3 linked regions of the Coturnix japonica genome follow. The main gene of each other region encodes a partner of the protein of the gene in region 3 in a complex. Links are inferred from orthologs where the notes say so. Each region holds a gene or a part of one and is shown on either strand. Other genes may lie near its edges. The genes, in order: CRIPT, RBM48 and ARMC7.

What was found.
Region 1: ARMC7 (region 3) and CRIPT share a complex: the UniProt entries of both Homo sapiens proteins name them as parts of the minor spliceosome. The link is inferred for Coturnix japonica from reciprocal best matches to the Homo sapiens genes ARMC7 and CRIPT.
Region 2: ARMC7 (region 3) and RBM48 share a complex: the UniProt entries of both Homo sapiens proteins name them as parts of the minor spliceosome. The link is inferred for Coturnix japonica from reciprocal best matches to the Homo sapiens genes ARMC7 and RBM48.

The regions. Positions count from the first base shown.
Region 1 is NC_029518.1:23,889,994-23,893,742, reverse strand, and holds the start of CRIPT (cysteine-rich PDZ-binding protein), read right to left. Parts: upstream 2,349-3,749; 5' UTR 2,316-2,348; coding exon 2,246-2,315; intron 2,152-2,245; coding exon 2,086-2,151; intron 1,421-2,085; coding exon 1,366-1,420; intron 629-1,365; coding exon 525-628; intron 1-524. Other genes in the region: PIGF (phosphatidylinositol-glycan biosynthesis class F protein), read left to right, coding at 2,548-2,775. UniProt on the Homo sapiens protein: As a component of the minor spliceosome, involved in the splicing of U12-type introns in pre-mRNAs. Involved in the cytoskeletal anchoring of DLG4 in excitatory synapses.
Region 2 is NC_029517.1:20,668,885-20,672,633, reverse strand, and holds the start of RBM48 (RNA-binding protein 48), read right to left. Parts: upstream 2,404-3,749; 5' UTR 2,202-2,403; coding exon 2,076-2,201; coding exon of another isoform or gene 1,986-2,075; exon of another isoform or gene 1,964-1,985; intron 1,906-1,963; exon of another isoform or gene 1,877-1,905; coding exon of another isoform or gene 1,763-1,876; intron 1,120-1,762; coding exon 929-1,119; intron 803-928; coding exon 657-802; intron 1-656. Other genes in the region: PEX1 (peroxisome biogenesis factor 1), read left to right, coding at 1,986-2,114, 2,404-2,547, 2,641-2,724, 2,965-3,079, 3,169-3,749. UniProt on the Homo sapiens protein: As a component of the minor spliceosome, involved in the splicing of U12-type introns in pre-mRNAs.
Region 3 is NC_029533.1:9,331,173-9,334,530, reverse strand, and holds ARMC7 (armadillo repeat-containing protein 7), read right to left. Parts: upstream 2,477-3,358; 5' UTR 2,354-2,476; coding exon 2,287-2,353; intron 2,209-2,286; coding exon 2,065-2,208; intron 1,604-2,064; coding exon 1,266-1,603; 3' UTR 634-1,265; downstream 1-633. UniProt on the Homo sapiens protein: As a component of the minor spliceosome, involved in the splicing of U12-type introns in pre-mRNAs.

The sequences.
Region 1 (3,749 bases), on a different chromosome or scaffold from region 3:
CACAGTGTGAAGTTGTAGAACAATTAACATTATTCCATAAACAAAAATCACTACCAGTTAGCTGTGACTCTACATCTAACAATTCATCCAGCCCATGTCTGCGTGCTGAGTGAATTCTTCAATAGTAAGAAGGTAACCGAGTTCATGTTGCACTATTTTCCCCCCATGGATTACAAGTTTGAGCCATTTTGCTTGCCCCCTGAAATTCACAAGACTGATAAAATTTTATATTCTCCAGTAGAGATTTCATAAGGGTTCTGAGTCCCTGTTATTACAATGTTTGACCACCCTCATGGTGAAAATTATTTTATTCACATGGAATTAAAGAATTCTGCACTCTTCTCCATCACTGTGCACTGTGATGGGGGCTCAGTGCACCTTCTATACCTTCCTATTATTAGCTGAAGACAGTAACTGAATCTCATCACAGCCTTCTCTTTTCCTCACAGAACAAAATCAAAGACTTCTACTTGGTCTCTAATTCCAAATCAAAGCGGGGTAATAAAGTTCTCAGTGAAACTCACCTTTTTTATAGGCACATCCTTGGCAATAGTGAGACCCTGGCTGATGGACAGAACTCTTACAAATTCGACATATTGCAAATTTGTTCTTTCCATAAGGATCAAACCTGGAAAAATGGAGAAGTACTTTGTTTATGCACAGTGAAATAAAGTAATTCCTTCATCTCATACTAAAAATGCTATGCGAGAGGAAATAGACAAAAACTCCAGCAAAAACTGCAATCAAAAACAGGGACATAAAGAGGTCAACTCTAATAGACTACAGAATTTCTACAAAAAACCTCCCATTTTCTCCATTAAGAGAGGTTTCTTGTGTTATAGAAATTAAATTAATAAATGATGAACTAAAACCACACATTGTTCTTAAGATACAAGCCTATTTCAAAGTCAAAATACATTTCAACAATGGCTTGCCCCTGGCATAACAGAATATCCTTTAGACATTAAGGAGATGCTCAAGCGTTTGAACAGGTAATGTTAGCATGGAAGATCACAGAATCATGTGAGTTGGAAGGGACCTTTAAATGTCATCTAGTCCAACTCTCCTGCAACAAACAGAGACAAACAGCCTTTTCAGCCCCTCTCTTAACACAAACAGCAATTCCTACCAATTTTAGGGATGCCCACAGCAATACAGCTGCCCATGCTCTGTAATTCCACAGAAAGCCCCAATGAAATACATAAATACACACTGCCACCAAGGATTAACATGTTAAAAGAAATGAATAAATTAAGTTGTATTTTGGACAAGTTTTGAGGAATTACCCTGCTTTGTGAGAATGCAAGGTCTCAGTTACAGAAAATTGAATTATTTTTTAAGCTGAAATGAGGATTAAATACTAACCTTGCTTTCTTTGAGGTCAACGCCTTGTTTTCATTCAGCTTACGGCCACCGCTTTCTATAAAAAAAATACAACCACAAGGCAATGCATTTCACAGTCCAGCTTCCAACTGCCACATGTGGGCATGTGTGATCAGAGCAAAGTGAAGCATGAAGCACATAGCATGGGCAGGCCCTGCATATCATCCTTCCACATGAGGGGAAAGATCATAATGTAAACATAGAAAGTGTTGGGTTGGAAGGGACCCCCCAGGGATGGTTAAGTTCCAGCACCCTGCCACAGGCAGGGCCACCAACCTCCAGATCTGGTACTAAACCAAGTTTCCTGGGGCTCCATCCAACCTGGTCTTCACCACCTCCACAGCCTCTCTGGGCAGTCTCCCCAGCACCTCACCACTCTGTGTGAAGAGCTTCCCCTAACATCCATCTAAACCTTCCCTCTTTGAGCTTAAAACCATTACCTCTCATTCTATCATTACCTATTCAAGTAAAAAGTTGATTCTCCCCCCCCCCCCCCCCCCCGGTAATGATCCCATTTTAAATACGGAAGGCTGCAATGAGATGGACAAATTCAACGCCAAAAAGCTCGAGGTAAACAACCCTTCACTGCACTCAATGGAAACTACAGCAGTGAAGGGCCAACCCGGTAACTCCAGCAGGCTTTGGGGCTGCCCCCCGAACCCTCCGGACGACCCGCAGGGAACACCCAGCGACCGACACTACCTGTGGTGTTTCTCGCCCCATCCTTCCACGTATCAGGAGTGATCACGGTGCCCAGCTTCCTCTCACCTACGGAAAGAAACACCACGAAATAAACGATTAGAATTGCGCTGCCCTCAGACCCCGCTTAGTGCCGGGATCCCCCCAATCCCACCCTACTCACACTTCTCGCACACCATGGCCGCCCAGCACAACAACCGCCGCTTCCGGACCCGCCCCGGAGCTGACGCCATCCCGTTGCCGGGCGGCCGGCGTCCCGGGTACGGGCCAGGTGGGCCCCGCACGTTGTTAGGCCGCCCCGCGGGGCGAGCCTGACCTAGGACGTTGTGCGAGCGTGAGGGTCGTTAATCTACCACTAAAAAGCCCTTTTCTCCCCCAGAACGCCCTCATTGCCCCGCTGGTGCGGCTGAGTCCCGCTGACCGAGTGCCGCTCGCTGTGTTGCAGGTGGCCGGCGGCACGGCGCCATGAAGGAGGCAGAGCTGAGGAGGCTGCTGGCTGCCAACCTGCTCTGCTTCGTCTCCATCGTCCTGACCGCACTCGTACCGGCCTTGTTCCTGGATGGGTTCTCGGTTTTGGGCACTCACCTCACGTGGCTGTGTGTTTGTTCTGTCTGTGTTAGCGTCCTTAACGTAACCTTGTGTTTAATCCTAAAGCCAAGTCCGTCTTCTAAGAGAAGCTCGCTGTCTAACAAGGTAAGATTTGTTTCTTTCTTAGATTCCTATCGAGTGATGTGGAGAGGATGCTAAGCCTGTCACTGAAATGATGTGATGAGAAAGAAGTTACAACTTCTGGTGGTGAATTCTTGTTTTCCATGAGTTGCAGAGCTTAACTCTGTCTGCACCTGCCAGCAGCCCTCTGGGCTGAGCATCCCTGACACTTCTTGCCCATGGGGTTGTGATTTGTAGTCACAAGTCTATCACTGACTGCATGCTGGTAGGAATTGGGGCACACCAGAGTGGGCACGAAATTCACTTTGCAGTCTAGGCCTGACCTTCGTTATTGCAGAGTATTGCTTTGTTCTTTGTGTAGGAACTGAGATGTAAAATTGGGAACAGCTCATTACTACTAAAACTTGATGAGGCAGTGGCACAGCTGCCCAGAGAAGCTGTGGTGCCCCATCCCCAGAGGTGTTAAGGCCAGGTTGGATGGGGGTCTGGGCAGCCTGAGCTGGTGGTGGCCAGCCCTGCTCATGGCAGGGGGTTGGAAATGGGTGGGCTTTGAGGCCCCCACCAACTGAAGCCATTGTGACTCACTGAAAGTTGGTAAACTATAAAAAGTGAAGTTGAAAAGTGTCAGAACAATTGCATTTCATTGAATGACTAAATCTGCAGAAATTAAATCTGGGAGATTTCTTTGTAGTTACAGTTTGTAATAGGACCATTGAGGGTGTGGATCCTAATTTAACAGGTTAGAGGAGTAAAACATAGCTGGGTCAGGAGTGGTAGAATACAATTTGAAGTCAGCTTAGTCGTGCAACCCCACCAGCTGTGTCAGACAGTGCTCTTACAGTGATTCTTAAAAGAGTTAAGCAGTCATCCAAGAAAGTAGTATCTTTGTATGTAAAACTGTTAATTGCTGACAGAGGGGATATAAAATACATGAAAACATCATGGAAAACAAGTCTTTTAACCATCTGTGATTTGAAAATGAAGTAGGCTTATGTGTT
Region 2 (3,749 bases), on a different chromosome or scaffold from region 3:
AGAAAAGAAAAGGAAAACAGCTTCATTATTTTATGCCACTGTTAGTTCTAATACATAAAGTGTTCAATACAGTGACAGAAATAATACCAGCAATACTTCATTCCCAGTCACCTTCCTGTGATTCTGCTTAAGCAGCACCTGCAGTGGATAATGATATCCAAGTACATAAGCATAGGAAAGGAGAAGCCTGTGCCTGGCATTGTACTTATTTTACAGCTTGTCCAGCCTTCAGCGCTGCCTGGGAACTCAGCAGCAAAGCTGCCTGTCAGCCCAATCCATTCCTCGTGTTCCTTACTGACCCAAATGACAGGCAGGAAATAAGGGGCAGGGAGGGGGCTCTCTTACTAATCTCTCTTTTTGGGTATGCCTGAAAGAACTGTAACAAGGGGAACAAACTGATCCTCAGTTTCCTGGCAGTACTTAAAATTTCAGGTAACGTTTTGAAAAGAAATGAAGGAAACAATGAGGTTTAAAAGCTTTAAAGTGCATGTTAACTAAAACGTTGCTTTCTGAAAGGTCCATCTCTAGGAATAACTGAGAAATGTCCTAATGTAAAACAGCTAAACACAGTATATTTTCATCAATGGATGCTTTTGGCTTTACCAAGACGTACCAACCACTGGAATTAAAACTGGACATGAGATTTAACTACAAACCTCTTTGATTTGTTGCTTTTGCAATATACTTCCTTCTGTCCTGCAGCTTCTCCCTGGTTTCTTGGACTGTTTCAAATTCTGGAGCGTAGCACACGTGCAGCAAACTCCCAAAGAAACTGCGCTCATCCATCTTCTTCTTGGCCACCCTGAAGGAAACTAAATGGCATTAGCAGAGCTGAGGGTTTTACTTCAACTCTGTATGATGTAGATCATACATAAAGGGGCCGTGAAGGATTAAAACAACAAAAGGCAGATAGTGCTGTGTATAATACCTGGCACATTGCAGATTCTGGAATTTTATCAGATAAACTTCAGTGAACTGCTCTGCGGGATATTCATCAAGTGCATGGTACTCTTCTATGGCTCCGTACAAGGCAAACTGCTCCACTAACTCCTTCATGACGCCCAGCGCAGGAACTCCCTGGATTAGTAAATAACGCGATTCCAAGTTGATGGTGTACACCTGAAAGAAGCACAGGACAATCACAGAATTGTAGGGGTTGGAAGGGACCTCTAGAGATCATCAGTCCAACCCCCTGCCAAAGCAGGCTCCCTACACCATGTCACACAGGTAGGCGTCCAGGCGGGTCTTCAATATCTCCAGAGAAGGAGACTCCACCACCTCCCTGGGCAGCCTGTTCCAGTGCTCCGTCACCCTCACTGTAAAGAAGTTCTTCCACACATTAATGCAGAACTTCCTATGCTGTAGTTTCATCCCATTACCCCTAGTCCTGTCCCCACGCACTACTGAAAAGAGACCAGCCTCACCACTATGGCTTCCCCACCTCAGGTATTTATAAACCTGGATCAAGTCCCCTCTCAGCCTTCTTTTCTCAAGGCTAAACAGACCCACTTCCCTAAGTCTCTCCTCATAGGGGAGATGCTGTTCAATGCTCTAAAATGCCCACGTTTACCTCACTGCGAAAACAACAACTCAAAGCGTTCGTGCTGCCCGCTGTGTGGAGCCACCGCGGGCAGGGATGAACTCAAGCAGGGATGAACACATCACAGAACATCAGCTGGAGCTGATGCTTCTCCAGATGTCAGAGCACCGACACCTGCGGACTAAACAAGTCTCCAGCAGCCCACCCGCCCTCACCCCGCACCTTGACGGCCCTGGGTCGCCGCCCCTCGCGGTACTTGGCCCTGGACCCGCATGCTCCCAGCTGCTGGTGGTGCCTACACGCCTCCCCCGGCCCGCCAGCACCGCCCGCCGCCATCTTCCCGGCCGCCACCGCGGCTCCGGTCGGCTCTTCCGGGAAGGAAGTGGGCGCTGCCGAGAAGCCGGGCGGAACGAGCAACTACAGCCCGGCCCACCCGGCTGGCGGCATGTGGGGCAGCGGTAACCCCGGCGGAGGGGCCGCTGGAGTCGCCGCGGTGACGGTGGTGCTGAGCGGGACCCGGGACTGCTTCCTTCACCTGCCCGCCGTGCTGGCCTCGCACCTCCGCCTGCAGCAGGTACGGGGACGAGATGGGGGCGGCCCGTTCGGAGGGGATTGTGGGAGAGAGGTTCTCCTTCCTCCCCCCATCGTATCCCGTCATCATGGCGGTGCTCAGAGCCCTCCTCGAGAGGACGCACAGTCACCACAGCGACAGCGCAGGGCAACCAGCCGCCCCCCGCACTGTCGCTGTGGTGACTGTGCATCCTCCGAACGGGCCGGGACCCCTCGCCCCTGGACCCAGATGGGTCTGAGTATTTCTGAGTATGATTTGATAGTAATTCGTTTCATCTGCCTGATAATCACAGGGCCAAGCTGTCAAAGTATCCTGCCGTGATGAGCCCATCTACCTGAGCTGGATGGAAATGAGGCATCGAGGTCAGCGGGGTGAAAATATCGCAGAGATGAACAGGCATTTAGCAGAGAAGCTTGGCATTGCAGATGGAGAACAGGTTTGAAATGCAGGTCCCTTTTTTGAGTTTCTGAGTAGAGGTTTTATGTGTTTAAGGAGTTAAATTATTCAGAAATAATGTTGCTTCTATCAGGTGTTCGTGGAGCCCTGTTCACACGTCTCCTCCTGTCAGCAAGTAGAAGTGGAACCGCTCTCAGCAGATGATTGGGAAATACTGGTAAGAAAACCTGTCCCACTGTTCACATCATTTTCATGCAAATGACAGAGAATGTTGATACAAGCTTTTGTCGCAATCCCCCGTTCTTTTCTGCTCCTAAGCAAATGCTAAGTCTTGTGGGTTTTCATTGTATTTTATGTTTCAAATGGTGTATTAGAAAAAGATGTGAATCTTCTATGTTCAAACACATTTTAAAGGTTGTACAAGTGTGTAGCTTACAATGATACCACACTTTCCCAGGAACTGCACGCTTCCTCTCTTGAAAAGCATCTTCTGGACCAGATCCGAATCGTATTCCCCAAAGCCATCTTTCCTGTTTGGGTTGAACACCACACTCACGTTTACATCAGAATTGGTAAGCAGCAGTGAATGCTTTGCTGGTGCCTTGAGTAAGCTGTTTTGCAAGAGTGGATGCATTCATTCATCTGATTTATCCATACTCAGGTACACTTATGCCAGCAGCCCCCTATGGGAGATTAGAACCTTGCACGGAGCTTCTGATCTGCCCCAAAGCGCGTGAGCTTGAGGAAAACGTCGTAGACATGCCTTCTACAGAAGGTGACATCTTACTCAAGAGCTTTGTGAAGAATAGCATGGAGCAAGACGTAACTGTAAAGGAGCCTTTTGCCAGTCAACCTCACTTAAACCCAGGAGTCCCTGAACAGAGTAAGGCTGATGCAAATGTGACGTTTGGCTCAAGTGTTCTCCCAAATATGTGGAATTTCATAGGGAGCATTTTCTCTCGTACAGCTGAACAGAAACAAAAGACTCTGTGTGATAAGGATGAAATGAGCGCCTTCAAAGACAAGCTGCTGAACTTAATTCACATGGATTCCATTTTTAGAGTATGCCAGTCCCAGCCTCCCAGCGTACAGAACGCATCAGCTGTTCATGCATTTCTGAAACACGGTGCCATTCATGTTTTTCCACAGAATTTAGAATATACTGATTTGGATCCAAATGCTGTAGTAACTTATGGGAAAATTAACGGGCTGCTTTCCCCCAGACAGCGTCATCAAGAAGCA
Region 3 (3,358 bases):
GCTGATGGGGCACCACCACGTGCTGCCTCCGTGTGAAGTGTCCAACATCTGCTTTATGAAAGAAGCGAGCAGCGGAGCAGGCTACAGCTCCTAAACACTGAGTGCAGTTGGAGCGCGCCCAGCCGTCCGATGAAGGTTCCCGCAGCGCACAGCGGAGCCGCCTGGCCCCGCACTAAGGCCAGGCCGGCAGTTCCACCCGCTTGTGGCCGGAGGTTCCACTCGGGGCCGTGGTGCCGCCAGGGGCCGCTCGGCTTCATGCGGGGGTTGCGGGGTTCACCTCACGGTGCCTCGTCCTGGTGCGGCCGGAGCCGCAGTGATGTTATGAAGAATAACTATAAAGACAAACAGCCAGCTGTGGTGTAAGCTCACTATGGCGTGTTTTGAGCTGAGTGGAGGGGGAGAAAGCAGAACTCTGGAACTCGCAGCCTTTCAGAAGCACCGTGGTAAAGGGCCACCCCGTTCTATGCCTTTGGGCAGTTTGCCGCCCTGGCTCCAGGTTACCTTTTGCACGATTGGCTGATCATAAAAGGAGAGCAAAGTGGCTCCAACTCCCAGCCCACGTGCATTAGTGGGAGCAGCAGAGGCTGCGCTGCAAGAGCTGTACAGGAACATTTACGAGCTTACACAGAACTGTTTACACAACAGCTCCGTTAATGTTTTATTAAGAAAAGGCTTTTCTTGTGAACCTGAATGCCATAAACCCTTTTCCTACCTGCACCTTTCTCACCAGTGGTAATGAGGGAAATACAGCTTTCTGCTTCCTGACCTATGGGATAGCTATCACCTGTTCTAGGGCAGGATGATAAGACAGTATGTATAGTACCAAAGGTATGTAATAGGATTGCAAATTACCAGGGCAGGGAAACGCATTTCTTCTGCAGGAGGGATGAAGTTTGGGTCATTTCAAAGTCATCTGAGTTGACACTGGAAAGCTGTGGCAAAATCAGCCAGGAACTGGAAGTGATACAAGCTGAACAATAACCCGAGCAGAGAAAGTAACTGCTATAAGGGTTATACCTGTAAGCTGGTTCAGAGCTGCACAGCAGCCATCACCTTTTTTATTTAAAATATTTGCTTCCATTTTCAGCCACGTTCTTGGCCTGTTATAGTGCTGTATGGTCCTTTTCAATACTAACTAAAATCCAATGCTAGTCTGATTTCCTGCTTTACTGTTCTCATCACACTCTTGACCTACTCAGCATTAGGTGCAGACCTGAGCAAACAGGGGGTGCTCCTCGCAGCAGCTCCAAGCTGCTCTGACAGCTTCAATCCTTCGGGAGAGGAATCCCCACCGCTGTGTGTTTGCTCAGGTTCCTGGCCTCTTCCACCTGCAGGGGCGTGCAATAATCCTCCAGGAAGATCGTGGCCAGATTGCTCAGCCTTCTGCTGGCCGACAGGGAGAAGCGAAGCATGCATTCCACCACCGGGAGAGCTGTGGTCTGCTGGCACGACTGCGGCGTTGTCAGATACATCAGGGCTGTGACTGCTGACATGACTGTCTCTTCGTTGGAGCTGGAGAGGCAGTTTATTATGGGCTCTACCCCATTGGCCTCCAGGATATAGTCTTTGTTAGTTTTATCCAAGCACAGGTTGCAAAGACCACCTGAAATAGCGAAAAAAGCATCTGACACATGCAAGACAGATTCTTTCTGCAGCCTCATCCGGACACACTCCATGCTCTGAAGGGCACCTCATCTGGGAATGAATGGCAGCAGCTGGAGCACGTTCCGTCTGTTGGTACCAGCAGTTGGGCCCTGACCTGTGTGGTGCCGGCACTGAGTTGTCCGCAGACGGACACTCCATCTTTACTACTTTTCTTAAGGCAACATGCACAGACAGTTTCCCTGTGTGGTAAGGGGGCAATCGGTCTTCAAGGTACCAGGAATTAAATGATGGGTTTTTAATTGCCCTACGTTGCCTTTTATTTTCTCCTGTCCATCTCAGTGCAGTGATGGCATTTATGGCGCCGTGTGGCTGCAGCGTTTATTTTCATTTTCCCCGGTTTGTTACCTGTGTTTTAGAGAAACAGGGAAAGCATCGGGGCGCACCCAGCGCTGTGCTCACCCATAGCGAATTCCACCAGGGTCTCGTCGTCCTCCGTCAGCATGTCGAGGAACAGGTCCAGCACCTGGAGCTGCCGCAGATACTCGTAGTTCTTGGGGTCGTAGGCGAAGTTGGCCAGGTTGGCCAGCACCTGCCGCCTGGCCTCTGCCGGGGAAGCAACGCGTCAAACGGGGCAAGGGGGGCTGTGGTAGATGGAGATTTCGCTTTTGTACGCGGGGTTACCTGGGCTGTCTGTCACCTGGAACTCCGTGACGAGGGCCTGCAGGTACTCCAACCTGCCCAGCTCCATCCCGAGCTGAGAACCAGAACCAGCCGATCAGCTGGACCGCGCCGCCGGCACGGGGCACAACGGGGCGCTCCGGACACCGGCGGCCGCCATGTTGTGGGCGTTACTCCCCGGCCGCCATGTTGTGGGCGGTGCGGCTGCTGGCTGCGCTCCGCGTGCGGGGCGGGCTGTGGGCAGCTCATGTGCGTCAATAAGTGAAGGCACATATCACTGCTGCACTCTGTATCTGGCAAACACGTGTTTTTATCGTTTCCCCCCTTTGTTCTGCACAGTTCTTCACCTTTCCCTGCCACCTGGTTGCTTGCCCCCCAGGCCTCAGAATTTACACCCCCGCGTGTGCTTCTCGTGCCTGTAACTGTGTTAGTGCACTTGAAGCGACATCTGTCATTACTAATATGGACCAGAGCGGGGCTGGTGTGAGAAGGGCAGAGAAGAGAAAGCAAACAAGGAGAAGCAAACCGACAGAAGTGTTTGAGGACAGTGGGACTGAGCAATAAGGGGAGGAGCGCGTTGCATTGGAGGAGGAAAATGCAGCGCTGAGTTCCCAGGTACCGTGTGTGTGTGTGGGCAGTCAGTAGGATTTTGCAAGCACAAAACCAATGGGAACTTTGTCCCCTGCAGTGATTTCACTGCGAGCAGCGTTTAGGAACAGCCCGTGCTGGTCGGGTGGTGCATCCCCGAGAGCTGCACCCTGCGGGTCACACTGCAGCGCTGCTGCTCACCTCACTGCGAGCTGCGTGCTCTGCTGCTTCTAGATTCTATCTTGTTTTGAGTCTAATCCAGGCTGGTTAACGGATGTGAGGAACATTGTGCATTTAATTTGAGCTGTCCCATAGAGTTTGGTAACATTCCCAGGTCTGTGGTCTGCAGAGATGTTCTGTAAGGGCTGCAGGCTGTGCTCGTGCTGCTTACATGACTGAGTGCATCTGATCATCACCGTGTGCTGCAATGCTGCAGGAAGTTTTCCTGGTCGTACACAACCATCTCTTGGCAGCAGTGCTGGCTCAG